Linked DNA regions of Stegostoma tigrinum. The protein of the gene in region 1 interacts with the protein of each later gene in a pairwise test. Links are inferred from orthologs where the notes say so. Each region holds a gene or a part of one and is shown in the gene's direction. Other genes may lie near its edges. The genes, in order: rpia, ptpn11a, stk16 and atpaf2.

Evidence for each region.
Region 2: the proteins of rpia (region 1) and ptpn11a interact in binary tests that used the Homo sapiens proteins (3 or more experiments, as listed by UniProt). The two-hybrid records come from large-scale screens. The link is inferred for Stegostoma tigrinum from reciprocal best matches to the Homo sapiens genes RPIA and PTPN11.
Region 3: the proteins of rpia (region 1) and stk16 interact in binary tests that used the Homo sapiens proteins (3 or more experiments, as listed by UniProt). The two-hybrid records come from large-scale screens. The link is inferred for Stegostoma tigrinum from reciprocal best matches to the Homo sapiens genes RPIA and STK16.
Region 4: the proteins of rpia (region 1) and atpaf2 interact in binary tests that used the Homo sapiens proteins (3 or more experiments, as listed by UniProt). The two-hybrid records come from large-scale screens. The link is inferred for Stegostoma tigrinum from reciprocal best matches to the Homo sapiens genes RPIA and ATPAF2.

Annotation. Positions count from the first base shown.
Region 1 is NC_081354.1:175,268,328-175,275,496, reverse strand, and holds the start of rpia (ribose-5-phosphate isomerase), read left to right. Parts: upstream 1-4,169; 5' UTR 4,170-4,206; coding exon 4,207-4,377; intron 4,378-6,627; coding exon 6,628-6,688; intron 6,689-7,169. UniProt on the Homo sapiens protein: Catalyzes the reversible conversion of ribose-5-phosphate to ribulose 5-phosphate and participates in the first step of the non-oxidative branch of the pentose phosphate pathway.
Region 2 is NC_081379.1:13,632,198-13,639,734, forward strand, and holds the start of ptpn11a (tyrosine-protein phosphatase non-receptor type 11), read left to right. Parts: upstream 1-4,479; 5' UTR 4,480-4,780; coding exon 4,781-4,794; intron 4,795-7,537. UniProt on the Homo sapiens protein: Acts downstream of various receptor and cytoplasmic protein tyrosine kinases to participate in the signal transduction from the cell surface to the nucleus. Positively regulates MAPK signal transduction pathway. Dephosphorylates GAB1, ARHGAP35 and EGFR.
Region 3 is NC_081360.1:100,738,190-100,746,205, forward strand, and holds the start of stk16 (serine/threonine-protein kinase 16), read left to right. Parts: upstream 1-4,971; 5' UTR 4,972-5,083; intron 5,084-8,016. UniProt on the Homo sapiens protein: Membrane-associated protein kinase that phosphorylates on serine and threonine residues. In vitro substrates include DRG1, ENO1 and EIF4EBP1. Also autophosphorylates. May be involved in secretory vesicle trafficking or intracellular signaling.
Region 4 is NC_081376.1:20,185,361-20,193,085, reverse strand, and holds the start of atpaf2 (ATP synthase mitochondrial F1 complex assembly factor 2), read left to right. Parts: upstream 1-4,684; 5' UTR 4,685-4,865; coding exon 4,866-4,971; intron 4,972-7,076; coding exon 7,077-7,121; intron 7,122-7,725. UniProt on the Homo sapiens protein: Plays a role in the assembly of the F1 component of the mitochondrial ATP synthase (ATPase).

The DNA of each region.
Region 1 (7,169 bases):
CTTCAATAACTAGTCCCAGCTGGCAGTTAGTGACTCCATTTGGAAGGGGGGATCTGTAGGAGCATTCCCAGTTAGACGCTCAGCAAGGAAGCAAACGAGGAGCTTAGTGAGCAAATGGGAAAACTCCTGCTGGGCAAGTGGAACACCTTCAAATTAACAACACAAAAAAAACAGGCTGTTGAGAAGACTATTCATAAAAAAGAGGAGCACTTACATGTCATAGACATCAGTGCTGCTATAATGAGTGTATTGTCATGGAATTGTTCAGTTGTTGTGATGAATTTTTCAGGAAAGCTGAATTTTTGGCATGACCTTTCTAAGGCCCTCCCACTGACTGTGTTAAAGGCCGTGGTCCAGTCAACAAAGTGATGCAGAGGCCCTTATTCTGTTCTTGGCATTTCTCCTGGATCTTCTAACTGCAAACATCCCCATCAGTGATGCCTTGACTTTTTCTGAAACCACTTTCACTTACTAGCCATAGATCCTGTTGCACTGAGCACTTCAGAAGAATTCCAATGAAGATTTTGTGGGTCAATAGAGGAGACTGAGAATATGCTATGAATGCTCTGAGATTCACTTACACAAGGGAGCAATGGAGACACCTTTCTGCTTTGGCAGGATGGTCCCTTGCTCCCACTTACACTGAAAGGGTTCAGGGAGCTCCTTCATCAGCTATTGACCTCCAGCTTTGAAGACCTCAGCTGGGTTAGCATTGGTTTTGGATCCTTGCTACTAGGAAGGAGTTTGATTGCGCTCCTCACTCCCAACCATGTGACAGGATCACCAAGGCAGCAGTTGACGGCAACTTTTGGCAGCCTGGCTGTAGGGAAAAGGCAGTGAGAGTGGGACAGGCTGTGTTGCACCGCTAAATGTCTGAATAAGGAAGAAAAACAAAAGTTGCTGGAAAAGCTCAGCAGGTCTGGCAACATCTGTGACGAAAAAAATCGGAGTTAATGTTTCGGACCTGGTGACCCGTCCTCAGAACTGTCTGAATAACTCCCTTCTGTGTTGTAAACACTCTGTGACTGCCTACAAGTGAAGTCTTTTTATCCACCTCCTTCAGGTTCCAATATTTTCTTTTTGACTTTTCCCTTTGATTATAGCTTTATGCAAACTCAATAGGATGGAACATTCATTTCCTTTCCAGCATGGTGAGAGTAGTTCCTGAGAATTGTTGTAATGGAGGGAGTAACTGTATTGTTTCCAATTGTCGTGGGTGTCAGCTATTAACCGGCTGCAATACATAATGTTCTAAAGCTTGTGGGCTATGGCCTTTCCTTTCAAAACTGGAGATAAATATTTTGCTGTTAACAGCCAGCAACTTAACTGTTTTTCTCTGAATCAGTTGGAATAATAGCATAAGGAGATGAAAATGCACATTTAGAACATAGAACATAGAACAGTACAGCACAGAACAGGCCCTTCAGCCCACAATGTTGTGCCGACCATTGATCCTCATGTATGCACCCTCAAATTTCTGTGACCATATACATGTCCAGCAGTCTCTTAAATGACCCCAATGACCTTGCTTCCACAACTGCTGCTGGCAACGCATTCCATGCTCTCACAACTCTCTGCGTAAAGAACCTGCCTCTGACATCCCCTCTATACTTTCCACCAACCAGCTTAAAACTATGACCCCTCGTGCTAGCCATTTCTGCCCTGGGAAATAGTCTCTGGCTATCAACTCTATCTATGCCTCTCATTATCTTGTATACCTCAATTAGGTCCCCTCTCCTCCTCCTTTTCTCCAATGAAAGGAGACCGAGCTCAGTCAACCTCTCTTCATAAGATAAGCCCTCCAGTCCAGGCAGCATCCTGGTAAATCTCCTCTGAACCCTCTCCAAAGCATCCACATCTTTGATATGGTTTATTTCATCACCTCAGAATATCCCAAAGCACTGTACAACTGACGATGTAAACATACTGAAAAACATTCTGAAAAAATGATCCATTAGCTATAAAACACTTTTGGAGTTGGAACACACTGAGATTTCGGTGCAAATGCAAACTGGGGCTCTTGTGGCGCAGTGATAGTGACACTGTCTCTGGACCAAGAGACTCAGATTCAAATCACACTTGCTCCGGAAGTGTGTAACAATGCCTCTACACAAGTTAGTGAGGAAATATTTATTAATGTTGTCACTTATGTTTTGGAACTCAGGTACCAAATGTTTACAAGGGATGTGATCAACATGTTCCCGTTCCAGAAATTCAGCTGTGTTATCACTAATATTCATAACACAAAAGCAGGTCATTATTATTTTGCTGTTTGTGCTGGTTTTCCAACTTGGAGGTTTCTACACTCCAACAATGCCTTCACTGGCTGTTAAGTTATTTGGGATGATGTCCTGCTGCTATTTTCTGTACAATACCTCCGCTCAAGACACATCTGTATTGTCAATATTTTGTTTTGTTTCCAATCATAATGTACTTGGGCTACTCATAATGCACCGTGGCACGGTCGCTCAGTGGTTGGCACTGCAGCCTCACAGCGCCAGGGACCCGGGTTCGATTCCCACCTCAGGTAACTGTCTGTGTGGAGTTTGCACATTCTCCCCGTGTCTGCATGCGTTTCCTCCGGGTGCTCCGGTTTCCTCCCACAATTCAATGATGAGCAGGTTAGGTGGGGTTCTAATGAAAATCTAATGAAAAATAATATCCTTTCATGAACAAGTGAATGACATTTATAGCAATGAAATCTAACTCTAAGGGGCTCTTGTGGTCAGTGATAGTATCCAGGATTTAAAATGCATCTGCTCTAGACATGAATAATAACATCTTTGAACAGGTTCATTTGAAAATCTAACTTTATAATTTAACACATTGAATCATAACGGCACAGGAAGAGACCATTTGGTCCATTGGTGCATTGACCCTCCAAAGAGCATCCTACCCAGACGCCTACCCTATTCTCATAACTCTACATTTATCATTGCCAATCCACCTAACCCGCACATACCCAGATTCTGCAGGGTAATTTACCATTGCCAATCCACCTAACCTGCACATACCCAGATTCTGCAGGGTAATTTATCATTGCCAATCCACCTAACCTGCACATACCCAGATTCTGCAGGGTAATTTATCATTGCCAATCCACCTAACCCGCACATACCCAGATTCTGCAGGGTAATTTACCATTGCCAATCCACCTAACCTGCACATACCCAGATTCTGCAGGGTAATTTAGCATGGCCAATCCACCTAACCTGCACATACCCAGATTCTGCAGGGTAATTTAGCATGGCCAATCCACCTAACCTGCACATACCCAGATTCTGCAGGGTAATTTATCATTGCCAATCCACCTAACCTGCACATACCCAGATTCTGCAGGGTAATTTAGCATGGCCAATCCACCTAACCTACACATAGCCAGATTCTGCAGGGTAATTTAGCATGGCCAATCCACCTAACCTGCACATACCCAGATTCTGCAGGGTAATTTAGCATGGCCAATCCACCTAACCTACACATAGCCAGATTCTGCAGGGTAATTTAGCATGGCCAATCCACCTAACCCGCACATACCCAGATTCTGCAGGGTAATTTAGCATGGCCAATCCACCTAACCCGCACATACCCAGATTCTGCAGGGTAATTTACCATTGCCAATCCACCTAACCCGCACATACCCAGATTCTGCAGGGTAATTTAGCATGGCCAATCCACCTAACCTGCACATTGGTGGACTGTGGGAGAAAACAGGAGCACCCGGAGGAAACACAAAAAGACAGCTGTCCAAGGCTTAAAATTGAACCCAGGTCCCTAGCGCTGCGAGGTAGCAGTGCTAACTGTGCGATGGTGTCAAAGAAATTGCAAGGTGAAGTAAAACAGCATCATACGTGTTATTACTCAAAAGGAGACAATTTGGTCTGTTGTGTTTGCAACAGCTCCTCAAATAAGCATTATTACCTCAAGCCAATCTCCTGTTGTTTTGTATCTTTCCCCCATTATTTTTACCCAAATGATCACACAATACCCTGTGGAATGCATGAAACAGTAACAGTTCCAGAAGGAAAAGTGTGCAGCAAAAACCAAATTCAGCTTTAATGACAAAACACAAGACAGTGCAGGCTGGGAAATGTAGTCTTATTCTTTTAGCATGGAAGACTACATTTCCCAGCTGAGAAAGGAGGTTGACTACGAGCTGCAGCCCCATCCCGAGCTGCTCTGCTCTGCAAGGTGGGGAGGGGAGTGGCAATGTGGCTGAGGCTTCCTGGAGTCTGCTCGTGGGGGCTGCGCTTCGGGTTAAGAGCGGTTCCGCGGCATCAACAGTTACAGCTTCTTACACTGAAGAGGAAGTTCACCGAAGGCATGGAGGAAGAAGCAAAAAGGAAAGCTGGTTACATGGCTGTGGATAATCACGTGCAAGTGAGCAAAGAATGTACCACGGATGCATTTTAATACACATTTCATTTTTTAAAAAAATTGCACTAAGTCAGTTGTGTTGCTATTTCACAGACATGTCAGTTTTCTCTGGACGGTATTTTGAACTACGTAGGGGATGAGGGGCTGGAGTAGGGGGTTGATGATAATGTGTTTCCAATGGATTGCTACTGCCCTGTACTAAACTGTAGGTTTACGTTTACAGCCCGGGGTTAAAACAGTGAATATGTTGCTCAGCAGATAGCTCTGGAAAAGTTCACAAATATGACTTTTGTGTTTTTTATTTAATGAACAAACTTTTTTCTCCTTTGATAAAGTCTTTATGCCCAGTTCTAAAAGTGAAGGACAGAGTTTTTAGACGAGTCTTTAAATTCATTTACACTAAATTGCTTTTTGAAACCAGCGTGCTGCTCCCTTGTAAAATGTGAAGGGGTCTGGGAGAGGTTTACCCTTCTGAAATTCCCGCGTACTCATGGCCACAGATCACAGCTGTGAGGGACTGACTTCTGCTGAGTTTTATCACTTAACTTTTGTTTAGTGTGAGTTGTGTAAACGAGGATTTGGCTGAATCAGAGTTCTGTACCCTCGTCAACCGTATGCTGCGCCTGAAATTTAATGCTTCCTCAATTGTGCAGTGAGAACTGCCCCATGGTTAGCAGCCCAGGCGAGACAGAAACCCCCCTCAACAATGTTGCCTTCATATAGTAGTTTGTGAAGGTTCTGCTGTTGACCTTCTGGTTAGGAGAGATAAAGAAAACTAAACCCCTTACAGATTCTACCAATCTGTTGTGTGGATATTGTGCAACAAGGAAAGAAACACCCATTTGTTCAGTATCTTTCGCAATGTCAGAAAGTATCAATGCTCTTTTGCATCCTGTTAAATACTTTTGAAGTGTCGCCTCGGCTGTTCCAATGTTGGAAATGTGGCTCAGCAAGCTCCCAAAATGATGACGATGGGATGATTCATTTCATTGATGTTGGACAAAGGATAGATTTTGGCCAGGATGCCAGGCAGAACTCTAGCTCTTGGCATTAAACTAAGTGGCATATGCCCTAGGTGTAATGTCTCATCTGATGACCAGATGTGCTGACTTTCCAGTACTCCCTGATTTCCCAGTGACTTTTGCAGCAAGTGCAGGTCCACACATAAGATGGAAGTTGGAGAATAGTAAGAACTGCCGATGTTGGAGTCAGATATAACACAGTGTGGAGCTGGATGTACACAGGCCAGGCAGCGTCAGAGGAGCAGAAAAGCAGACGTATTGGTTCGGGACCCTTCTTCAGAAAAAATAAAGTTGGTCAGTTTTGGTGGCTTGGCAGTACTACAGGTCCCATATCTAAAATTTGGTACCCTCAGGACTGAGACTGTTGGATTTTGATTTTCCCAGATTTTTGACAGTGCAATCTGAATTACTTCTGAATATCATTTTCAGTGTAAAGTTCATTGTTCTGGTTTTTCTGTTTCTTTAAATTTGCCGATTTATAGAGTTTCCCACTGCATTCCCTTCCCTCAGCTTTTACACTGACGCACCTCAGTTTAATTTCCGCAGCTATTCCATGTTCTCAGTTTTGGTCAATGAATTATACTTCAGTTTTTCAGTGGAACATGCTGGTATTTTTGACACAGCAGCAAAAAAAAACACCAAATCCCAATGGGCACAAGTGTGTCCAAATGATAGTTATAGCAATAACACAAGTATTGCATGGCTAAGCCAGAATGGACAGGACTGAGGGTCATTCAGGTCAACTTGGTGTGCAGTAACTAGACTGGCATATCACTGGGGGCAAGCAGTAAACTGATAACTGTTCCAGAGTGCTATCAAGGACTGCTGCCAAGCCAGTTGTTCAAGTATTTGAACAAGAAATCTGAATTTCATGGAACTGAAGAAGATTTTATTTCTGAAGAAGGATCGAGGCCCAAAACGTCAGTCTTCCTGCTCCTCTGATGCTGCTTGGCCTGCTGTGTTCATGCAGCTCCACACCTTGTTATCTCAGATTCTCCGGCATCAGCAGTTCCTGCTATCTCTGAATCAAAACAGTAATGCTGTTCGGAATGCCTTGGGTTCACACTTTTGTGCACCATTCAACACGTTTATTACAGGAAATTACATGTTCTAGGACCTAGTTTAATTTTGTTTGTGAATATTCACAGTGGGAGCAGCTACACCTGACAACAAAGAACACGATGTCACTTTGACCTGAAAAAACTGATCCTGTTTGTTGTTTTTGTCTCAGAACAACCAAGCATTGGGTATCGGAAGTGGATCCACGATAGTGTATGCTGTGGACAGAATAGGTGGGTGCTGATTAAGATATCAAGCTATGAAATTGCCTTCATTTTGTGTTTGTTGTCTCTGCTATTGTATCTGAAAGAAGCATTGTTTTATAATTCCTAACCCCTATCCCCTCCCCAACACCTCACCCTTAGCTTTGTGAATTTATTTAGAGGGTTACTGAATGATAGTTTACAGAAGTTTTCTGTTCGATCCAACGTAGTTATTCTCCTTCTGTGTGATTTTTTTTTAAAAATTTGTTTGTGAGGTTGTATTATACTTAGCAAGTCTGTGGATCTTTTGTGCTGTTCAATTATAGTCTGATACACTTCCTAGCGTAGTCTCCTCACATGCTCACCATGTATATAAATTCTCCTGGCCTTCTCTCATTCCTTTGATTTTTGTTTAGCTGTTTTGGTTCCTGCTGCTCTTGTCTGTTATTGGGGGGATGTGTAGGGGGCGGGGAGAGGAGTTTCTCCCTGCTTGATCCAAAAAACCTTCAGT
Region 2 (7,537 bases), on another chromosome or scaffold:
GTACAACAGATACTCCTTTGCCAGGAATACTTCCCCACCATTTACCTCCATCACTTACGAAACATGGGAACATTCAGCTATCTCTTTTTCAGCCCAATCTCTAAATTGCAATAATGTAATTGTTCCAAGTACTAACCAAGAGGAGGGGAAGCAGGTGGAATTTAAGGGAATGTTAGAGAGACAGAGTAATAAACTCAAATGTCACAACAATAGGCAAAGGGAGAGTTCACGTTGTAGAGACAGCTAGGTGCAGATTAGATGTTTAACAGTAGCTGTTAAGAGCATAATTAAGAGGTCAGCACTGCGGCATGCAAAACCTAAAAACAATGGAGAGAGGGCAGGAAACAAAATGGAGGAGAGAGTTCACGGTCTGAAATTATTCAATGCAACATCAAATCTAAAAGGCCTAAGTCGAATAATACAAAGGCCTTCAGATGCTGGAGGTCTAAAACAAACAAATAGCTGGAGAAACTCAGCATCTGAAAATGGTGTTAACGTTGAGTCCAGTGACTTCTTTAGGCCTAAATGGAAAATGCTCCAGCTTGCAATGGGTTTCACTCAGACACTACAGTTGACCTAGGGCAAAAGAAATTCTAAGAGCTAAATGGTGTACTTGTGTCAAGTGACAGAAGGTTGGTGTCATGCTTGCAAACCGAGGTGCGTTCTGCAAAGTGGTGTCCCCAGCGAAGTGGAGGCTACATTATAAGCATTGAAGCCAGTAGACTAGATTGAAAAAAGAAAGCACAAGTAGATTTACATCTCCTGAAAGAAATATTAAGGGCTTTGGACAGTAGGAGAGTGGTGATAAAACAATGTATTGCATTTCCTGCCATTTATAAAAAAGTGCTTCGGGAGGGAGATGAAGAGTTGGGGCAATAAAGGGATGCCAGAATGTCAAAGGTAACGGTCCCTTCAAAATAGTGAGAGCAAATGTAGCCGAGGTAGCTGTGGGAGTTGGTGGATTTGTAACTAATATTAGTAGACAGTCTATCCCTGCAAGAGGGGGCAAAGACAGAAAAATTAAGGATTAAAGGAAAGAGTCAGAGATGGGCCAGGTGAACTTGAAAGACTAGAAATTGAAAGCAAAATGGATTAACTTTTCCAGTTCTGGGTGACAGCAGGCACTGATACAGTCAAAGTACTAGAGAAAGAGTTACGTGAGGATACCCCCAGACTGGGAAAAAAACAAAACCCATAAAAACACAAAGTATCACTTGAGCGCACATGGATAAGTGGCCACGTGGTATTTGAAACTCTCATGGCCAATACAAAAGATGGAGCTCTGAACTGGGGGGGGGGGGGGGGGGGGGGGGGGGGGGGGGGGCAGCAGTGAGCCTATTTAAAACTCAGGTAGATTACCAGAAACTTACAGCACATCAGAAATGAAAATTTAAGACAAAAAAGTGACATACCCGAAAAGTGAAGACTAAGCAGGGCATATCATGACTTGATAAAAAGTACACATAATAGAAATTGCAAAGTATACTGGTCAGAGAGAAGGTAAACATGAATCTCACTTCAAAACTCTATCAGCATTCACATCAAAGGATAAGAACTCAAAAAGCTGACACTAATTTAGTGTTAAACTGCATCTGGAGTTCCCTATGTCCAGTTGGGGAACAATTCTCTGGAACTACAGAAACAGAAACTGGATCAATTCCAAGAAGAATGGGTAAAGCAGGAAGTTGAAAAGCTGGAAGAAAGGCACAAGAGTGGCTGCACGAAAAACTTGCACTGCAGAACAATAAAGCAGAACTTGAAGTATTTAAAGAGCAACTGCAGTGTGCTGTTTAGCTCAGAGACAACATTTTACAGCCAAAAAATACTTGTGCTTAAAGGAAGAGAACAAGTTAATAAACTGTAAAGTGTTCATTTTTAAAATATGATTAACATTGATCTTTAGGAAAACAGATAACTGGAACTGTTACACTAATATAAAGGCAGACCATTTTTCTTTTAATTAATAGGACATTGTTTCTGTTGGAGAAAGTAATAGGAACTAATTGCTGAATGTGCAAGGGGACCTCACTGTTCTAACTTTGTTAAAAATTCATCGGAGGGATGAGGGCGTTGCTGGCTAGGCAGCATTTATTGTCCATCCCTAATTGCCCAGAAGGCAGTTAAGAGTCAACCACATTGCTGTAGGTCTGGAATCACATGTAGGCCAGACCAGCTAAGGGCGGCAGTTTCCTTCCCTAAAGGAAATCAGTGGACCAGATGGGGTTTTTCCAGCAAATCGACAATGGATCCACAGTCATCATTAGACTCAATTCCAGATATTTATTGAATTCAAATTCCACCATCTATGGCAGGATTCAAACCCAGGTCCCCAGAAGGTTATCTGGGTCTCTGAATTAACAGTGTAGCAATAACATCACTAGGCCATCACCTCCCCATAACTTAGTCATGTGACCAATGGACTGCTATTGTGTTAGGTACATGGAGATGCAAGAAATAAAATGGAGTTCCATCAAGTCTATAGTCTAAAGTATCATCATTTTGACCTTGTGGGAATCAAAAGACTGACTCAATGCTACCCAACTCCCTTACCTCACTAAAATAAAATTATAGATGCTGGAAATCTGAAACAAATCAAAACAAATTACTGGAGAAGGTCCACAGGTCTGGCAACATCTGTGCACAAAAAAGTCAACTTTTCAGGCCCAATGACTCATCTTCAGGACTGACTGTCACAGGGAAAATGGGATTACATCACGCTGAAAACAGGGGCTGGGGAATAAACAGCAGGTAGAGATGCACCCAGAACAGAACAGTAGTTGGCAGACAAAGGAATGAGTGGATAGTCACCTGTGTTCTGTCCAAAGAAAACCAAAATGACCCTGAGCTTCAAGGCACAACTGTGTGCTCTGGCTAACATTTCTCCCAGGGGTGCTGCAGTGCTCCAGCTGGAAGAACTGCATTTCATTTTCTGCTTGGGGAACCTGCAGGCTTCAGAACTCAATACAGAGTTCACTAATCATAAGGCCCGAGCACCTTCTTCCATGTCTTTTACATCCCTCACACAACCAGCCCCACCTTGTCATCACTTTGGCTGCTTTCATCACAGCCAATCCATTTTTGGCTTTAGTAGCTATTTCCAATGCTGACCATTATCCATTTGTTTAATTATCCAAAAGCTGTTCTTTCTCTGGGCCTCATCTCCACCTCCTTCCCCTCTCCCATCTCCCACATATATGCCAGCTTTTCCCAGCTACAATTAGTTGTGAACCTGTTTTCTCACCACAAATGGTACCAGACCCAGCTGAATTTGTTCCTTTGTTTGCTGTTTTGCCCTGCTTCATTTATGCTGTTATACTTACCCAAGCCCTGAACCAAATAATAAAGTAGACCCAGAACCTCACTGCTCTATTAGATCAAGATCTGACCTACAATGCACTCCTTTGCCACAATTCTGTCTGAATTAGGTTCTCATACTTTTAAACTTTTTTTCTATTTTCCTTTTCATGACCAAATTGATTCAGCTTCCAATGTTTGAAAAAGAAAATTCAATTTGCTAACTTTGTTGTGACAAAATTGTAACAAGTGTCACAAAACCGTCTTTATGGAACCACGGAAAAGTTGTAGCATAGAAAGCGGCCATTCAGCCCGTCACGTTCACGGCAGTTGAGAGAAAACTATCCCATCTTCCAGCACATTCAAAGAAAAACCGTCCAGATAGTTTGAAGGTTTCTGAAACAAGAACCCGAAGTAGTTAAATTCAGCACCTCTAACATTATCTGCTGAGAGAGAAGCAGCGCTACTGTTCAGTGAACCTTCTTCAGAAATAGACAGCAACGTTCTTCGAAACTAATTCTGATGAAGGCTCACCAGGCTAGAAGCGATAACTGTTTTCCTCTTACTCCTCAGATGCTGCCAGAGCCACTAACTTTCTCCAGCTTTTGCTTTTTGGGGGGGCATTACATTATCGGAGGTTTCGGCCTCGACCACCAGAATGGGTGGAACATTCTAGACCATGCCTCCACCTACCGTGAAACATTTCTCCCCACATACCGCCCTAATCCTTTTACTTTAGATCAATTAACCCCGATTAATGAATGAATAAATTCAAACCAGTAACGACCTGAATTATTCTCAATCAAACGTGGGCTGAACAGTCTTGGTTTCTGAAGTGACAAAGCCTCTCCGGGTTGCAATGCCTCATAACACACCCCCACTTCCAGAGGTTCACAATACGCATGCGAAAAACTCTGCGCGCGCGCACTTTATGACACGTCCTGCCAATAATAAACATGGCGGCCCCCAAATCGGCTCAGTGAACTGGTCTGGTGGAGTGACGTCACCGGGTCTTCGTGTGGGTTTGGGAACAAGAAATGCAAATTTTACACATGCGCGCCGGAGAGTTTCGGGGTGTTAACTCGACATTCTCTGCCCTAGCGTGATAATTCATTATTCTTTCGATGTCTACTCTCAGCCTTGCAGGGAAAGGGGACGCCGCTGCGTCATATCCGTGCGCGGGTCGGTGTGTTGGAGACGTAGATTTCCAGCGCCGTAGGCCGGGAGGGGGTAGGTGGAGATGACTTTTTTCCCCCCGCGACGCAGTCGCTGCGTTTCTAGTTAGTTCCTCAGCTGGGTAGGGAGAGACACACACACACAGAGACACAGACGCTGGGCGGGAAGTGCCTGAGATCGAGTTAGGTCCTCTTGCCCCATAGGAGCTGCCGCAGAGGCAGAGTGCCTACCAACTCTCGCACCCATCACCGGCGGAGGCAGAAAAGAACCGGCAGGCCAGTGTGAGAGGGAGTGCCCTCCGTCCATCACCATGACATCCCGAAGGTGGGTGAGCGGGTGTATGAGGGAAGAATGGGTGTATTGGTGAGGGGAGGCGGGTGGGAATACTGCGGGTATTGGGCGGAGACTGTGGCTATGCCACAACAGGGGGAATCTGTGAAATATGGAACTCGCTGGGGAGTGCTGACATTCAATGATAACCTGGCCTGAACTTAAGGAAGCCTGAGGGAGCAGAGGGGAAGTTTCACAAATGGGCTGTAGCCAGTCACTGAACAAAAATACGGCGCTTGGAGTATACAGCTAGGCTCAAACATTGCTGTCAATCCCTCACTGACCTCTGCGACAGCTACCTGTACTTAAAAGTCGTTGGTCAAAGACTGGTGTGCTGTGTTGACGATTGTATTGATTTTGCATATTCACCAATCGCGGATGAATGTGCAAACATAACAGTAAAACTAAGGATAGGTGACTATATCCCAACAAGTAGAACACTCGTAATGCTGATTTGGAAGCTTTTCGTCTGTACGATGCCTTAAGGTGTATATATGCACTTGCCCACAAGGGCAGAAAAGAGCCCAGTGTTGTGTTGATAACAGGAGATGCGAATGGGAGGGATCAGAGCTTGTGTGAAAATACTGTTTTTTTTTTGTTTAATTCCAAAGATATTCACTAAGGATTGTGGAATAAGGTACTGAGCAGCCTCTCTCAAAGCTATTTTGTAAGGCAAGATTCATCACGTTGAGGGATTTGGATTTATGAAACAAATTTAATTTGGTCAGATTATTCTAAAACTGTGCCTGATGCAAAGAAATTAAAATTAAATATTAAAAATTTAAATTAAATATTAAAACTAATATGCAAACTTCAGGGCTAAGGTAAGAAAAGGCAATGATTTTTAAATGTGAAATCTAAAAATGTGAAATTGAAGTTAAATTATTTTTCCTAATTACTCTGAACTCTGTCAAGGAGGGACAGTTCATTTTATCTGTTTTTTTTCTGAAAACTGAAATGCTGCCTTTTTTATAGAGCACTGATTGGATCATTATGTGAAGGTGTTTGGCAAAGGACCTTCATGGATTGCAATGAAGAGGAACAAGAATAGTTCTAGTTTAAACATTAAAGTGCGAATTAAATATCTAAAGTCATTGTCAGAGGAAAAAGAGATCTGAGATGAGGTATGGTCAAGGCCTTAGTGATAGCTAGACATAACTGGTAAAATGGAGTATATGCTTTAATCTAGGACCAGAAGGCAAAACTACAAAATTATCAAGATGTTAGTGATCCCCACAGCTTTCATAAGCTTTCTTGCAACCCGTGTCTCATTTGGTCAAAAGACGTGTTGTTGCCTCCAACTGAAAGCCATTTGTTCCACGTCATCTGAATTTCTTGAAACCCTGCCTAGATGAAGATTTAAATAGGCAGAATTATCTTGGATTAACTAAAGTTGACGATAATTGTGCTGTCTACAAAAAATAACTTTAGGCCATGGGGTGTTACTTTCAGAGTGTAGCCTTCTGAGTAAAATTGTATTCCCTTCAACTGTTGGATCTTGCTTCCTTGTTTAGGGTGTCAGGGTAAAATGTCAGTACTTTTACTTCTTGGAAATACTGACTGTGGTTGCATTGAACTGCCACAGGAACTTCAGTTATGTCAAGGTTTAATAGTACAATTCATGTGGAAGTGTGGGGTTGATTCAGCCTTTTTCAATTGCACATTTTTCCAAACATGGTACATAGCAGACCCACCCACATTTACTGATATGGAGCATTGCTAGACAGAGAAAAGGATCAGAATGAAAGGAAATGACACTGCATGTTGTATGCAGAAAAACATGAGTGAACGAGGGTCACATTCACATGTTACTGCAAAAGGACCGGCACATAGCAGATTGGCCAAAGAGGGTGAGAACATCTAACAGGTAATGCTTTTGTGATGGTACAGAGATAATGACAGCACTGAGCAGGAAGAGTTGCTATACAACTGTGTAGAAACAACAACTACTGATGTTTGTAAAGTGCTTTTGAATGTAGTAAAATGTCCCATGCTGTTCACATAAATTTGACACCATGCAGTATAAGAGATATTGGGGTAGGTGACCAAAATCTTTGTCAAAGAGATCATAAGGAAGCCGAAATATAGTGAAATGGGGTCTTTGGCTACTGAAATTTTGATCATCAGTGGTGGCTTGATTTAAAATCAGGAATGCTCAAGAAACTGGAATCTGAAGATTACAATTAGTCAGAAGGTTGTAGTGCTGGGGAAGATTACAGATCTTCTAATTTATGAATCAGAGGCAAGACCATGAAGGGATTTGAAAATAATTAAAATTTTACAGGGGCCAATGTGTTTCAGTTAGTGGGAAGGTGATGATTGAACTGGATTTGGTGCAAGTTAGGACATCAGCCATCGAGTTTAGGATTCCTTGAGTTTACAGAATGTAAGAAGCCAGCTAATGATCTGTTGAAATACCTTTTATAGTAATAAAGGTATCATTGAGAGATTCTGCAGCAGATGAACTGAGGCAGCAGCAGAACTAGGTGATGTCTTGGAATGCAAATGAGTGATATTAGTGATGTGGTTGTATGGTCGGAAGCACATCTTGGAGTCAAATGTAACACCATGGTTGCAAACATTTTGGTTTACAAGTACTATGCGCAGTTTTGGCCTTACTTGAGGAGGGATCGAGTTGCATTGGAGACAGTTCCGAGGAGGTTCACTCGATTGATCCTAGAGATGAGGGGTTTGTCACATGAAAGAGAGATTGACCGGGTTAGACCTGTGCTTTCTG
Region 3 (8,016 bases), on another chromosome or scaffold:
CCTCCTCTGAACCCTCTCCAAAGCATCCACATCTTTCCTATAATAGGGCGCCCAGAACTGGACGCAGTATTCCAAGTGCGGTCTAACCAAAGTTTTATAGAGCTGCAACAAGATCTCACGACTCTTAAACTCAATCCCCCTGTTAATGAAAGCCAAAACACCATATGCTTTCTTAACAACCCTGTCCACTTGGGTGGCCATTTTAAGGGATCTATGTATCTGCACACCAAGATCCCTCTGTTCCTCCACGCTGCCAAGAATCCTATCCTTAATCCTGTACTCAGCTTTCAAATTCGACCTTCCAAAATGCATCACCTCGCATTTATCCAGGTTGAACTCCATCTGCCACCTCTCAGCCCATCTCTGCATCCTGTCAATGTCCCGCTGCAGCCTACAACAGCCCTCTACACTGTCAACGACACCTCCGACCTTTGTGTCGTCTGCAAACTTGCTGACCCATCCTTCAATTCCCTCGTCCAAGTCATTAATAAAAATTACAAACAGTAGAGGCCCAAGGACAGAGCCCTGTGGAACCCCACTCACCACTGACTTCCAGGCAGAATATTTTCCTTCTACTACCACACGCTGTCTTCTGTTGGCCAGCCAATTCTGTATCCAAGCAGCTAAGTTCCCCTGTATCCCATTCCTCCTGACCTTCTGAATGAGCCTTCCATGGGGAACCTTATCAAATGCCTTACTGAAGTCCATATACACCACATCCACAGCTCGACCCTCATCAACCTTACTAGTCACATCCTCAAAAAACTCGATAAGGTTTGTAAGGCATGACCTACCCCTCACAAAGCCATGTTGACTGTATTTGATCAAGCCATGCTCTTCCAGATGGTCATAAATCTTATCCCTCAGAATCCATTCTAACACCTTGCAGACGACAGACGTGAGACTTACCGGTCTATAATTGCCGGGGATTTCCCTATTTCCTTTCTTGAAGAGAGGAATTACATTTGCCTCTCTCCAGTCCTCAGGTACGACTCCAGTGGAGAGCGAGGATGCAAAGATCTTCGCAAGTGGCGAAGCAATTGCATTTCTCGCTTCCCAAAGCAGCCGAGGACAAATCTGATCCGGGCCTGGCGACTTGTCAATCTTAATGTTTGACAAAATTTTCAGTACATCAGCTTCCTCTATCTCTATCCATTCCAGCATGCACACCTGCTCTTCAAAGGTTTCATTCACTACACAGTTCGATTCTTTCGTAAAGACAGAAGCAAAAAACTCATTTAGGGCTTCCCCTACCTCCTCAGGCTCCACACACAAGTTCCCTATGCTATCCCTGATCGGCCCTACTCTTTCTTTGACCATTCTCTTATTCCTCACGTAAGTGTAAAATGCCTTTGTGTTTTCCCGGATTCCTTCTGCCAAGCCTTTCTCGTGCCCCCTCCTGGCTCTCCTCAGACCATTTTTGAGCTCCTTCCTTGCCTGCATGTAATCCTCTCTAGCTGAACTTGACCCTAGCTTCCTCCACCTTATGTAAGCTACCTTCTTCCTTTTCACTAGAAGCTCCACCGCTCTCGTCATCCAAGGTTCCTTTATCTTACCCCTTCTTGCCTGTCTCAGAGGGACATATTTACTCATCACTCCCAACAACTGTTCCTTAAACCATCTCCACATGTCTATAGTTCCCTTACCATGGAACAACTGCTCCCAGTCCATGCTTCCTAACTCGTGTCTAATCGCATCATAGTTTCCTCTTCCCCAATTAAATATCCTCCCATTCTGCCTAATCCTCTCCTTCTCCATAGCTATGTAGAATGAGAGAGTGTTATGGTCACTATCACCAAAATGCTCTCCCACCACAAGATCTGATACCTGCCCCGGCTCGTTTCCGAGCACCAAGTCTAGAATGGCCTCTCCCCTCGTCGGCCTGTCAACGTACTGCGTTAGGAAACCCTCCTGAACACACCTTACAAAAACAGCTCCATTCAAATCTTCTGCTCGAAGGAGGTTCCAATCAATATTAGGAAAGTTAAAGTCACCCATTACAACAACCCTACTGCGTCCACACTTTTCCAAAATCTGTCGACCTATGCTTTCTACAATCTCCCTGCTGCTATTGGGGGGCCTGTAGTAAACCCCTAACGAGGTGACTACTCCCTTGCTGTTCCTAATTTCCACCCATACTGACTCAGTAGGCAGATCTTCCTCGACAATGGAAGCTTCTGTAGCTGTGATACTCTCTCTGATTAGTAGTGCTACACCCCCTCCTCTTTTTCCCCCCTCCCTATTCTTTTTAAATGTTCTAAACCCTGGAACATCCAGCAACCATTCCTGCCCATGAGAAACCCATGTCTCTGTTATGGCCACAACATCATAGCACCAGGTACTGATCCATGCTCTAAGTTCATCACTTTTATTCCTGATACTCCTTGCATTAAAGCAAACACACTTTAACCGATCCCTTGGTTCCTTCCCAGGAAAATCCTTCCCACTAGCTGGTCTACCTCTTGCTACTGCCTCACCTGCATCAACGCTCACCTCTGGTATACAGCTCAGGTTCCCACCCCCCTGCCATACTAGTTTAAACCCTCTGGAACTACTCGAGCAAACCTTCCACCCAGGACATTGGTCCCCTTCCAGTTCAGATGCAACCCGTCCTTCTTGTACAGGTCCCACCTTCCCCAGAAGGCATCCCAATTATCAACATATCTGAAGCCCTCCCTCCTACACCAGCTGCGTAGCCACGTGTTCAGCTGCGCCCGCTCCCTGTTCCTCACCTCGCTATCTCGTGGCACCGGTAGTAAACCAGAGAACACTACTCTGTTCGTCCTGCTCTGCAGCTTCCATCCTAACTCCATGAAATCACTTTTTATATCCTCAACCCTATTTCTGGCTATATCATTTGTGCCAATATGTAACACGATTTCTGGCTGTTCACCCTCCCCTTTCAGAACTTTATACACCCGATCGGAGACGTCCCGGACCCTGGCACCAGGGAGGCAACATACCTTCCGGGAATCCCGATCTTGCCCACAAAATCTCCTGTCGATTCCCCTAACTATCGAGTCCCCTACCACGAGTACTTTTCTATTCTGCCCCCTTCCCTTCTTTGCCACAGTGTCAGGCTCAGTGCCAGAGAACTGACTACTATGGCTTTCCTCTGGTAGGTCAACACCCCCAGCAGTATCCAAAACGGTATACTTATTGCTGAGGGGAATGCCCACAGGGGATCTCTGCACTGTCTGTCTGTCCCCTTTCCTCCCCCTAACTGTAACCCATCTATCCTCGTCCTGAGCCTTAGGAGTGACCAACTCCCGATAACTCCTCTCAATTACCCCCTCTGCCTCCCGAATGATCCGTAGTTCATCCAGCTCCAGCTCCATTTCCCTAACACGGTTTTCAAGGAGCTGTAGCTGGGTGCACTTCCCGCAGATGTAGCCAGCGGAGACGTGTGCCACATCTCCCAACTGCCACATTTTGCAGGAGGAGCAAGCAACTGCCCTAGCATCCATACCCCACTTATCTGAACACCCACTCAATACTAAAGCAGAAAGCTCACTTCAAGTAATAATAACAAATTAATAACAAACTTATGTTCAATAGAGAAAGTTTAGAATGAACCTTACCTTATTAACTAGGTTAGAGGAGGGCGGCGGGTGGGAGACACTACAGTTGTAGAGTCTCGGGTTAAGCCGCCTTGCTGATATATATGGTCACTGCTTTCCTTCCCGGCTGCCCCTCTGGTCCTCGTCACTTCCTCTGATGCTCCCGCTCCTTCTCTGAAAGAGGAAAAAAAACACCGCTGCCCGCTACCGGTAAGTAATTTTAAAAATAAACTGCTTTACCTTAGCTGCAGTCTTCCGGGTCCGTCTTGCCTCTGCTGCTGCTCGCACTCAAAATGGCCGTTGGCGTCGAAGGGTGAGTATTTATACTCACTGCTTTCCTTCCCGGCTGCCCCTCTGGTCCTCGTCACTTCCTCTGATGCTCCCGCTCCTTCTCTGAAAGAGGAAAAAAAACACCGCTGCCCGCTACCGGTAAGTAATTTTAAAAATAAACTGCTTTACCTTAGCTGCAGTCTTCCGGGTCCGTCTTGCCTCTGCTGCTGCTCGCACTCAAAATGGCCGTTGGCGTCGAAGGGTGAGTATTTATACTCACTGCTTTCCTTCCCGGCTGCTCCTCTGGTCCTCGTCACTTCCTCTGATGCTCCCGCTCCTTCTCTGAAAGAGGAAAAAAAAAACACCGCTGCCCGCTACCGGTAAGTAATTTTAAAAATAAACTGCTTTACCTTAGCTGCAGTCTTCCGGGTCCGTCTTGCCTCTGCTGCTGCTCGCACTCAAAATGGCCGTTGGCGTCGAAGGGTGAGTATTTATACTCACTGCTTTCCTTCCCGGCTGCCCCTCTGGTCCTCGTCACTTCCTCTGATGCTCCCGCTCCTTCTCTGAAAGAGGAAAAAAAACACCGCTGCCCGCTACCGGTAAGTAATTTTAAAAATAAACTGCTTTACCTTAGCTGCAGTCTTCCGGGTCCGTCTTGCCTCTGCTGCTGCTCGCAATTGTGAAAGGGAGGGAGGGGACAGGCAATTGGGGCGTGACGGTGGCTCAGTGGTTAGCAAAGGAGCTGGATTTGATTCCAGCTTCACATGACTCCGTGTGGAGTTTGCATGTTCTCCCTGTGTTTTTTCTCCCCCATGGTACAAAGATGTTCATGTTAGGTGGGTTAGCCTTGGGAGGTACAGGGTCTGGGTGGAATTCCCTTTGGTGGGTTGGTGTGGACGGAATGAACTCCTTTCATGCTGTAGGGAATTCTGTAAATTGCATGCAATTTTATCTGTTGGAGGAGTAACTTTAAAAGCAAGAATAAACTGGCACCGCCATCTCTCGGGGGCACACTTCGAGGCTTGGTCCTGGCCCTGCAACCAGCACGTGGTGGGGGAAATTTCCCGGGGCTCCAATTCTCGCGAGATGCCAGGGTGGTGTCCGGGAGGACTGGCGGCTCTTCTCGCGAGACCTGACGGCCGCGAGCAGCGGCGGCGCCCCTGTGAGCCGCCAGTGGCAGCAGCCGGGAGTCTTTGTGGCGCGGTCTCCTTCGTGAAGTGATTGACGGTGAAGAAAATCATCGGTTAACGGCGGTAGGGGAGACTGTAATTGCTTTGTGTGTGTTTAATATATATATTTTTTAAAAAGGGAAAGCGAACCGCGACTTTCCAAACGAGGGGTTGGGGACGCGTCGTCAGGTTGAGAAATAGGTCGGCCGGGGGAGGGAACTACAATACCCATGAGGCTTTGGGGTGGCGCATGGGCACCATCGGATCCAGGTGCATGATTTCAAGAGAATCGTTATGCGCATGCTCAGTTATTTGTTGTGAGCTTCCTCAATCACCCTTCCACCCCCCCCCACCAAAAGTTGCTTTTTTAATTGCATTAAACCCTTAGGATAACAAAAGTAAATAATAGGATCTGCCATGACCCTGTCGAATAGTGAAGCAGATATGGGGGTGCCGGATAGCATTCTCCTGTTTTTCTCTCTCTCAGTCTTCCCTGCAGTTAGGGCACGTCCTTTGGAAGGCTGATTAACCTGCTCCTGTTCCTACTTGTGGTGCAGTGTGCTTTATTTGACCCCCCCTGGTATAGAGTGACAAGCTGATGAAGTTCCTTTTTTAAAAAAATTATCTTGCACTCCTCAGGGCAGAATCACAAGAACGTCAAACTGCCCAGAGAATAGCAATTTATACCGCAACAGTAAGTGATATTGACTAGTTGGGATGTTGACTGACTGATCAAAGTGTTGCTATGGAGAAATAAACCAGGCAGTGTATACTCCCAGTGATAATGGGAACTGCAGATGCTGGAGAATCCAAGATAATAAAATGTGAGGCTGGATGAACACAGCAGGCCCAGCAGCATCTCGGGAGCACAATATATACTCCCCTTGCCTTTCTTTCATTGTAACAGGTGCAGAGTCTGTACATGTGCACCCTTTCTGCAGAGGACAGGATCCCCTGCATATGTGTATATGTACTTTGTAGGAAACACAAGTGAGCCCAACTAGATAATCTTAAATTAGTTGATCATGAAAATGTTTGTATAATCAAGGCACAGTGTCTAATGGTGGAGACAGTGGGGTGAGGAAGATCATCAGATGAAATAAGGTTTGTGACTGTAGTTGATACAATGACCCAATTGCCATGGGACTGCAGGGACATTTCCCTCTGGGATACCCTAGGACACTCTTCATTAACTCACAACAGCACACCCCCCTCTCTTTCCTCCTCCTCGCCCCCCCCCCCCCCCCCCACCGCCAGCCCTACAGTGCCTTCCCCTGCAACCATCGAAGATGTAACACCTGCCCAGTTACCACCTCCTTCCTCAGTATTCAAGGGCACAAACATACGTTCCAGGTGAAGCAGCACTTTACCTGCACATCCCACAGTCGAGCCACTGCATTCACTGCTCACGATGTGCTTTCCCCTACGTTTGGGAAACCAAGTGTAAGCTGGGTGACCGCATCACAGAACGTCTACCTTCTGCCCACAAAAAAAAACACTCTTCCAATTTCTTACCACTTTAACACACCCCCTGTCCCCTGGCCAACATCTCTGTCTCAGGCTTGCTGTAGCATTACCAGTGAAATTCAGTGCAAGCTGGAGGAATAACACCTGGTTTTCTGCTTGGGGACCTTGCAGCCCTCTGGACTCAATATCAGCCTGCTCTCTCCCATGTCCTAGCCCCTAATCTCATGTGTGAGGCCTTGTTATCACATAGCCTGTCTTTATACGCTACCCATTGTTAACCAATAACAGCCCCCATTAACAGCTATTCACCCTCCCAGCCAGATGGTTATCCACTCCTTTGTCCAAATGTTCTTCTTTCTCTTTAGGCTGTATCCCAACCTATCGTTTACAACTCCATCACCCCACCCTACCTTCTACATGTAAACCAACATTTTCCTAGCTACAAGATAACAAGGTGTAGAGCTGGATGAACACAGCAGGCCAGGCAGCATCAGAGGAGCAGGAAAGCTGATGTTTCTGGCCTAGACACTTCTTCGCTTTCCTAGCTACCTTCAGTTCTGAGGAAGGTCGCCAGACCCAAAACATTAACTGTGATTTCTCTACAGAGATGCTGCCAGACTTGCTGAGCTTTTCCAGCAATCTCTATTGTTGTTTCTGATTTACGGCATCTGCAGATCTTATGGTTTCTATTCAGATAAGAGGGTTTTAAATTATTCAACAGTCTCACCACAGGAAGGTCTGAAAAGATATTTCCTCGGAAGCAAGTTTACAAAACTGTATAGTAACAAACACCCTGTGTTATGTAGTACACGTCACCGAACTGTTTGTCGTTCAGGACACTGTGTAAAACTAGGACACAAATTAAACTTTAATCATATCCCACTCTAGTTACATGAATGGAAATGCTGTTGCAAGAAGGAACAGGCAGTCTCTGCTTTCAAGTTGGAATTAAGTGAAACAGTTGGAAGTTAATTTCCACTTCTAGCTGACCCTGATCCTGGTTATTGTGTAACTATTAACAGAGTTTTGCTAATCTTTGTGATGCATCAGTGTCTTTTGGGACTACTAGTTACGCTGATTGTATTGTTTCCTATCAGATTAATTGTTTCAACTGCTGTCAGTGGCATTTAAGTTCATTTTAAGGGTCACTTGTTGGTGTCTGTTTTCAAAACTTAAAGTCACCATAGTTTTAACCAGGCTGTGGAGCTGCTCGCCCATGAGAGAGAGAGAGATGAGTGGTGGTTTAACCAGAAGGTCACTACCCCTTAGGTGATGGGAGAGGTTGAGAGGGACAGTTTATTTATAGTAACCTTGGCTGTTGTACGAATTGAACCCAGGTTGTTGGCATCACAACATATCACAAACCAACATAATAAAATGTGAGGCTGGATGAACACAGCAGGCCAAGCAGCATCTCAGGAGCACAAAAGCTGACGTTTCGGGCCTAGACCCTTCATCAGAGAGGGGGATGGGGTGAGGGAACTGGAATAAATAGGGAGAATGTCTAGTCAACTCAGCTACAAAGGCACCAAATGATAAAACGGTTCATT
Region 4 (7,725 bases), on another chromosome or scaffold:
TGCCATTTTGACAAGAATTCTGTGGGACGGATAGGCAACATCTCAAGAGGAACGTTTTCAAATTAAGAGTTATGCTTCAGAAACCAACTATAGCTGCCATGCTCCAGTCTGATTGAACTTTTCCAGAATCTGACAAAGTCTACAAAATTAACGCAAGCACATTTACTACTTCATCTGGCACCCGTTTTAAGAGGATGAAATCTCTCAGGATGTGGGGGCTACACAGTCCACAGCTCCAGTTAGCTCATGGATAATGGGAACTGCAGATGCTGGAGAATCCAAGATAATAAAACGTGAGGCTGGATGAACACAGCAGGCCAAGCAGCATCTCAGGAGCACAAAAGCTGACGTTTCGGGCCTAGACCCTTCATCAGAGAGGGGGATGGGCAGAGGGAACTGGAATAAATAGGGAGAGAGGGGGAGGCGGACCAAAGATGGAGAGAAAACAAGATAGGTAGAGAGGAGAGTATAGGTGGGGAGGTAGGGAGGGGATAGGTCAGCCCAGGGAAGACGGACAGGTCAAGGAGGCGGGATGAGGTTAGTAGGTAGGAAATGGAGGTGCGGCTTGAGGTGGGAGGAAGGGATGGGTGAGAGGAAGAACAGGTTAGGGAGGCAGAGACAGGCTGGGCTGGTTTTGGGATGCAGTGGTGGGAGGGGACGAGCTGGGCTGGTTTTGGGATGCAGTGGGGGAAGGGGAGATTTTGAAGCTTGTGAAGTCCACATTGATACCATTGGGCTGCAGGGTTCCCAAGCGGAATATGAGTTGCTGTTCTTGCACCATTCAGGTGGCATCATTGTGGCACTGCAGGAGGCCCATGATGGACATGTCGTCTGAGGAATGGGAGGGGGAGTTGAAATTGTTCGCGACTGGGCGGTGCAGTTGTTTATTGCGAACTGAGCGGAGGTGTTCTGCAAAGCGGTCCCCAAGCCTCCGCTTGGTTTCCCCAATGTAGAGGAAGCCACACCGGGTGCAATGGATACAATATACCACATTGGCAGATGTGCAGGTGAACATCTGCTTGACATGGAAGGTCATCTTGGAGCCTGGGATAGGGGTGAGGGAGGAGGTGTGGGGGCAAGTGTAGCACTTCCTGCGGTTGCAGGGGAAGGTGCCGGGTGTGGTGGGGTTGGAGGGGAGTGTGGAGCGGACAAGGGAGTCGCGGAGAGAGTGGTCTCTCCGGAAAGCAGACAAGGGTGGGGATGGAAAAATAGCTTGCGTGGTGGGTTCAGATTGTAGATGGCGGAAGTGTCGAAGGATGATGCGTTGTATCCGGAGTTGGAGGGGTGGTATGTGAGAATGAGGGGGATCCTCTGGGGGCAATAGTGGCGGGGGCGGGGTGTGAGGGATGTGTTGCGGGAAATGTGGGAGATGCGGTCAAGGGCGTTCTCGACCACTGCGGGGGGAAAGTTGTGGTCCTTGAAGAACATGGACATCTGGGATGTGCGGGAGTGGAATGCCTCATCCTGGGAGCAGATGCGGCAGAGGCAGAGGAATTGGGAATAGGGGATGGAATTTTTGCATGAGGGTGGGTGGGAAGAGGTGTATTCTAGGTAGCTGTGAGAGTCGGTGGCTTGAAATGGACATCAGTTTCTAGCTGGTTACCTGAGATCATCTCCAACACCATCCATGACCTCATCCACCAAACCATCATCTCCAACACCATCCATGACTTCATCCACTAAACCATCATCTCCAACACCATCCATGACCTCATCACCTCAGGGGACCTCCCACCCACAGCCTCCAACCTCATTGTTCCCCAATCCCGCATGGCCCATTTCTATCTCCTTCCCAAAATCCACAAACCTGCCTGCCATGGTCGACCCATTGTCTCAGCCTGTTCCTGCCCCACCGAACTCATCTCCACCTATCTAGACTCCATTTTCTCCCCTTTGGTCCAGGAACTTCCCACCTACGTCCGTGACACCACCCACGCCCTCCACCCCCTCCAGGACTTCCAATTCCCTGGACCCCAACACCTCATTTTCACCATGGACGTCCAGTCCCTATACACCTGTATTCCTCATGCAGATGGCCTCAAGGCCCTCCGCTTCTTCCTGTCCCGCAGGCCCGACCAGTCCCCCTCCACCGACACCCTCATCCGCCTAGCCGAACTCGTCCTCACCTTCAAGAACTTCTCTTTCGATTCCTCCCACTTCCTACAGACAAAGGTGGTGGCCGTGGGCACCCGCATGGTCCCCAGCTATGCCTGCCTCTTTGTAGGTTACGTGGAACAGTCCCTCTTCCGCACCTACACAGGCCCCAAACTCCACCTCTTCCTGCATTACATTGATGACTGTATCAGCGCCGCCTCTTGCTCCTCAGAGGAGCTTGACAGTTCATGCACTTCACCAACACCTTCCACCCAAACCCCAAGTTCACCTGGGCGATCTCCAACACATCCCTCACCTTCCTGGACCTCTCAGTCTCCACCTCAGGTAACCAACTAGAAACTGATGTCCATTTCAAGCCCACTGACTCCCACAGCTACCAAGAATACATCTCCTCCCACCCACCCTCCTGCAAAAATTCCATCCCCTATTCCTAATTCCTCCGCCTCCGCCGCATCTCCTCCCAGGATGAGGCATTCCACTCCCGCACATCCCAGATGTCCACGTTCTTCAAGGACCACAACTTTCCCCCGCAGTGGTCGAGAACGCCCTTGACCGTGTCTCCCGCATTTCCCGCAACACATCCCTCACTCCCTGCCCCCGCCACAACCGCCCCCAGAGGATCCCCCTCATTCTCACACACCACCCCACCAACCTCCGGATACAACACATCATCCTCCAACACTTCCGCCATCTACAATCCGACCCCACCACCCAAGCTATTTTTCCATCCCCACCCTTGTCTGCCTTCCAGAGAGACCACTCTCTCCACGACCCCCTTGTCCGCTCCACAATCTTCTCCAACCCCACCACACCTGGCACCTTCCCCTGCAACCGCAGGAAGTGCTACACTTGCCACCACACCTCCTCCCTCACCCCTATCCCAGGCCCCAAGATGACCTTCCATGTCAAGCAGATGTTCACCTGCACATCTGCAATGTGGTATACTGTATCCATTGCACCCGGAGTAACTTCTTCTACATTGGGGAAATCAAGCGGAGGCTTGGGGACCGCTTTGCAGAACACCCCCACTCAGTTTGCAATAAACAACTGCACCTCCCAGTCGCAAACCATTTCCACTCCCCCTCCCATTCTTTAGATGGCATGTCCATCATGGGCCTCCTGCAGTGCCACAATGATGCCACCCGAAGGTTGCAGGAACAGCAACTCATATTCCGCCTGGGAACCCTGCAGCCATATGGTATCAATGTGGACTTCACCAGTTTCAAAATCTCCCCTTCCCCCACCGCATCCCTAAACCAGCCCAGTTCATCCCCTCCCCACACTGCACCACACAACCAGCCCAGCTCTTCCCCTCCACCCACTGCATCCCAAAACCAGTCCAACCTGTCTCTGCCTCCCTAACCTGTTCTTCCTCTCACCCATCCCTTCCTCCCACCCCAAGCCGCACCCCCATCAGCCTATCTCTGATAATGGGAACTGCAGATGCTGGAGATTCCAAGATAATAAAATGTGAGGCTGGATGAACACAGCAGGCCAAGCAGCATCTCAGGAGCACAAAAGCTGACGTTTCGGGCCTAGACCCTTCATCAGAGACCTTCTCACCTATACTCTCCTCTCTACCTATCGTGTTTTCTCTGCATCTTCGGTTTCCCTCCCACTCTCTCCCTATTTATTCCAGTTCCCTCTGCCCATCCCCCTCTCTGATGAAGGGTCCAGGCCCGAAACGTCAGCTTTTGTGCTCCTGAGATGCTGCTTGGCCTGCTGTGTTCATCCAGCCTCACAGCTTATCTCTGTTTCCCTAACCTGTTCTTTCTCTCACCCATCCCTTCCTCCCATCTCAAGCCGCACCTCCATTTCCTACCTACCACCTCATCCCACCTCCTTGGCCTGTCCATCTTCCCTGGACTGACCTATCCCCTCTCTACCTTCTCACCTATACTCTCCTCTCTACCTATCCTGTTTTCTCTCCATCTTCGGTCCGCGTCCCACTCTCTCCCTATTTATTCCAGTTCCCTCTCCCCATCCCCCTCTCTGATGAAGGGTCTAGGCCCGAAAAGTCAGCTTTTGTGCTCCTGGGATGCTGCTTGGCCTGCTGTGTTCATCCAGCCCCACACTTTGATATCCAGTTAGCTCATAACTGTTTCTCTTGTAATTTGAAATCTCGTATTCATTCATTTTTACGCAAAAGCTGACATGGCACTTGGAGCACAAGGAAACAAATCTTATGATACGAGCTTCAATCAGAACTTTAGTAGGAGTATGCTGATCCGGCCTTTAATTCCATTACTGTTTATGGTGTACATACAACCTGGCTCTTGTGTTTCCTACATTAAAATAGTGACTACGCTTCAGAAAGTGGTTAATTAACTTGTACACCATAAAAGGTATTACAGAAAGAGATTCATTGTTATTTATCACTAATTTTCAGTGTTACACAGGAATTAAAATACATCCTCTACTCTGAGAGGTAAAGTCACGGTTAGGAACTTTTCAGTGATTGGAAACTTTTGATAAAAGGCATCCACGTGATTGGATCATCCCCGACCAGCTTCCATGAAGCCCCGCCCCCTGCTATTTGATTGACCCGTGTGCCGCCTTGTGATTGGATACAGGGCACATCCGTCAACGCATGTTTTGCGGGGTGGCAGGTCAGCAACATGGCGACGGCCTGAAGGAGAGTATTTGCTGAATGTGAATGTCTTCCGAAGCTCAGTGGTGGATTCAGTGAGCGATTTACGGCAGCAGCCGTTGCCCCGTTGGTGCGATTCCTCTGCCGAGGCTGCGGGACCATGTTGTGCCGTCTCTGGGCCCGGGTGCTCCCTCGGCTCAGGCCTGGGGTTGGTTCCCAGATGATGGGAAGGACGGTGGAGTGGCGGCGGCAGTATCCAGCAGCGGGTGGGTGAGCCAGAGCAATGGAAGCCAAACATGTCATAACATTCAGAGGTAGTAAGATCTGCTGATGCTGGAGTTAGAGGTCACCCCGTGTGGAGCTTGATGAACACAGCGGGCCGGAGGAACAGGAAAATTCATGTTTCGGGTCGGGACCCTTCTTCAGAAAATCTGAGAGATTGGAAACTGGGATAATAAAATGTGAGGCTGGATGAACACAGCAGGCCAAGCAGCATCTCGGGAGCACAAAAGCTGACGTTTCGGGCCTAGACCCTTCATCAGAGAGGGGGATGGGGTGAGGGTTCTGGAATAAATAGGGAGAGAGGGGGAGGCGGACCGAAGATGGAGAGTAAAGAAGATAGGTGGAGAGGAGAGTATAGGTGGGGAGGTAGGGAGGGGATAGGTCAGTCCAGGGAAGACGGACAGGTCAAGGAGGTGGGATGAGGTTAGTAGGTAGCTGGGGGTGCGGCTTGGGGTGGGAGGAAGGGATGGGTGAGAGGAAGAACCGGTTCGGGAGGCAGAGACAGGTTGGACTGGTTTTGGGATGCAGTGGGTCGGGGGGAAGAGCTGGGCTGGTTGTGTGGTGCAGTGTGGGGAGGGGATGAACTGGGCTGGTTTAGGGATGCAGTAGGGGAAGGGGAGATTTTGAAACTGGTGAAGTCCACATTGATATCATATGGCTGCAGGGTTCCCAGGTGGAATATGAGTTGCCCATCCTTAAACCAGCCCAGTTCGTCCCCTCCCCCCACTGCACCACACAACCAGCCCAGCTCTCCACCCCCCCCCCCCCCCCGCCACTGCATCCCAAAACCAGTCCAACCTGTCTCTGCTTCCCTAACCGGTTCTTCCTCTCACCCATCCCTTCCTCCCACCCCAAGCCACACCCCCAGCTACCTACTAATCTCATCCCACCTCCTTGACCTGTCCGTCTTCCCTGGACTGACCTATCCCCTCCCTACCTCCCCACCTATACTCTCTCCACCTATCTTCTTTACTCTCCATCTTTGGTCCGCCTCCCCCTCTCTCCCTATTTATTCCAGTTCCCTCTCCCCATCCCCCTCTCTGATGAAGGGTCTATGCCCGAAACGTCAGCTTTTGTGCTCCTGAGATGCTGCTTGGCCTGCTGTGTTCATCCAGCCTCACATTTTATTATCTTGGAATTCTCCAGCATCTGCAGTTCCCATTATCTCAGATTGGAAACTGGGAATCGATTACAGAGAGTCAGCCGTGTGTCCGTGGGACCACCTGAGCCTCTGAGCTTCAGGATTGTAGATTCGATCCTGTTCCACAGACTCGAATACAGAATCCAGGTTGATACAAAAAAAACATAGCTCACAGAGTTAGTTCTTTCGAACGAGGCATTAAACTGGAGCTCCCTCTGACCACTCAAGTGGCCGCAAAAGTTCTAGACCATTTAAAGAAGAGCAGGGAAATTCTGTCCAGTGTTTATCCTCTAACAAAAGTCATGAAAATGTTCTTTTATCGTTGTCATAAACAGATGGGCTCGAGCACCCCAGAAGAGGCCGCACGTTGGCTGTAAATCACTCTCTGTCCACAACCTGTGAAATTAGCTGTACAAGTACCACTGCTTGCCTTCTGTACACATTGTTGTTAAGATATGTATAGAATGGCTTCCTAAGCAGCATGGGATCCAAAACTGGTATTTTAGAGTTTTTGGTTGTAATCTATGTTTAGAACAAGAATAAGGTCAAGTAAATATTAGCCTGGCCTGGCTGTCAAGACACCTTTCCTTTGCTTGTTTGAAATTTTAAGTTTTTAGTAAATTTTTCTGATGAGCAACGTGGTGGAATACAGTACAGGTTCTGAGCCCTTTAGGACTGTTCTACAATGGCCTCAGTGGCTGTGACCAGTGTAATAATTCAGCAAACTAGAGGTATTTGCTTGATTCTTTGAAGGTACCTGGACAGAAGTCCCAAAAAATCGTGCTTGATTTGGGTAATTATGTAAGTCGCTTATGCTGTAACTGGGTTAAATTGCTGTGCACACTTGGAGTATATTATTGTAGATGCACTGTTGCTGTGGTGCAAGTTTCAGCAAATACAGATAAATAAAAGTCATCTAATTATTTTTGTAATTTTACTGTTTTTTAGAGCGGAAGAAATTTTATCAGGATGTTAGCATTTCTCAAGGGGAAGGTAAGACTTGTGCTTTCCAGTCTGATATTTAAAAGTAGTGTTTTTTATTTAAGATTAGATTAGATTCCCTACAGTGTGGAAACAGGCCCTTTGGCCCAACAAATCTACACCGCCCCTTGAAGCATCCCACCCAGACACATCACCCTATAACCCACATATCCCTGAACACTACGGGCAATTTAGCATGGCCGATCCACCTGCACATCTTTGGGCTGTGGGAGGAAACTAGAGGACCCGGAGGAAATCCACACAGACACAGGGAGAATGTGCAAACTCCACACAGACAGTCGCCTGAGGCTGGAATTGAACCTGGGTCCCTGGCACTGTGAGGCTGCAGTGCTAACCACGGAGCCACCGTGCCGCCCTACTGTTGAATTTCTTTGAGTCATCCAGTCAATGATGGTGATCTCCATCCTTGCCTTGCTCATCTGTTGAAATCACATTTATGTCTTTCTTATTTTTATACAACATTCGAGCATACTCCTACCTGGCTTCACATAACCTTCAGCTCATAACTATCTGCCTGAATCTTAACTCTCACCAATTCCTATTCATCCACCATTTCTCTGCTTGCTAACCCAATTTTAAAATTCTCATTTGTTTT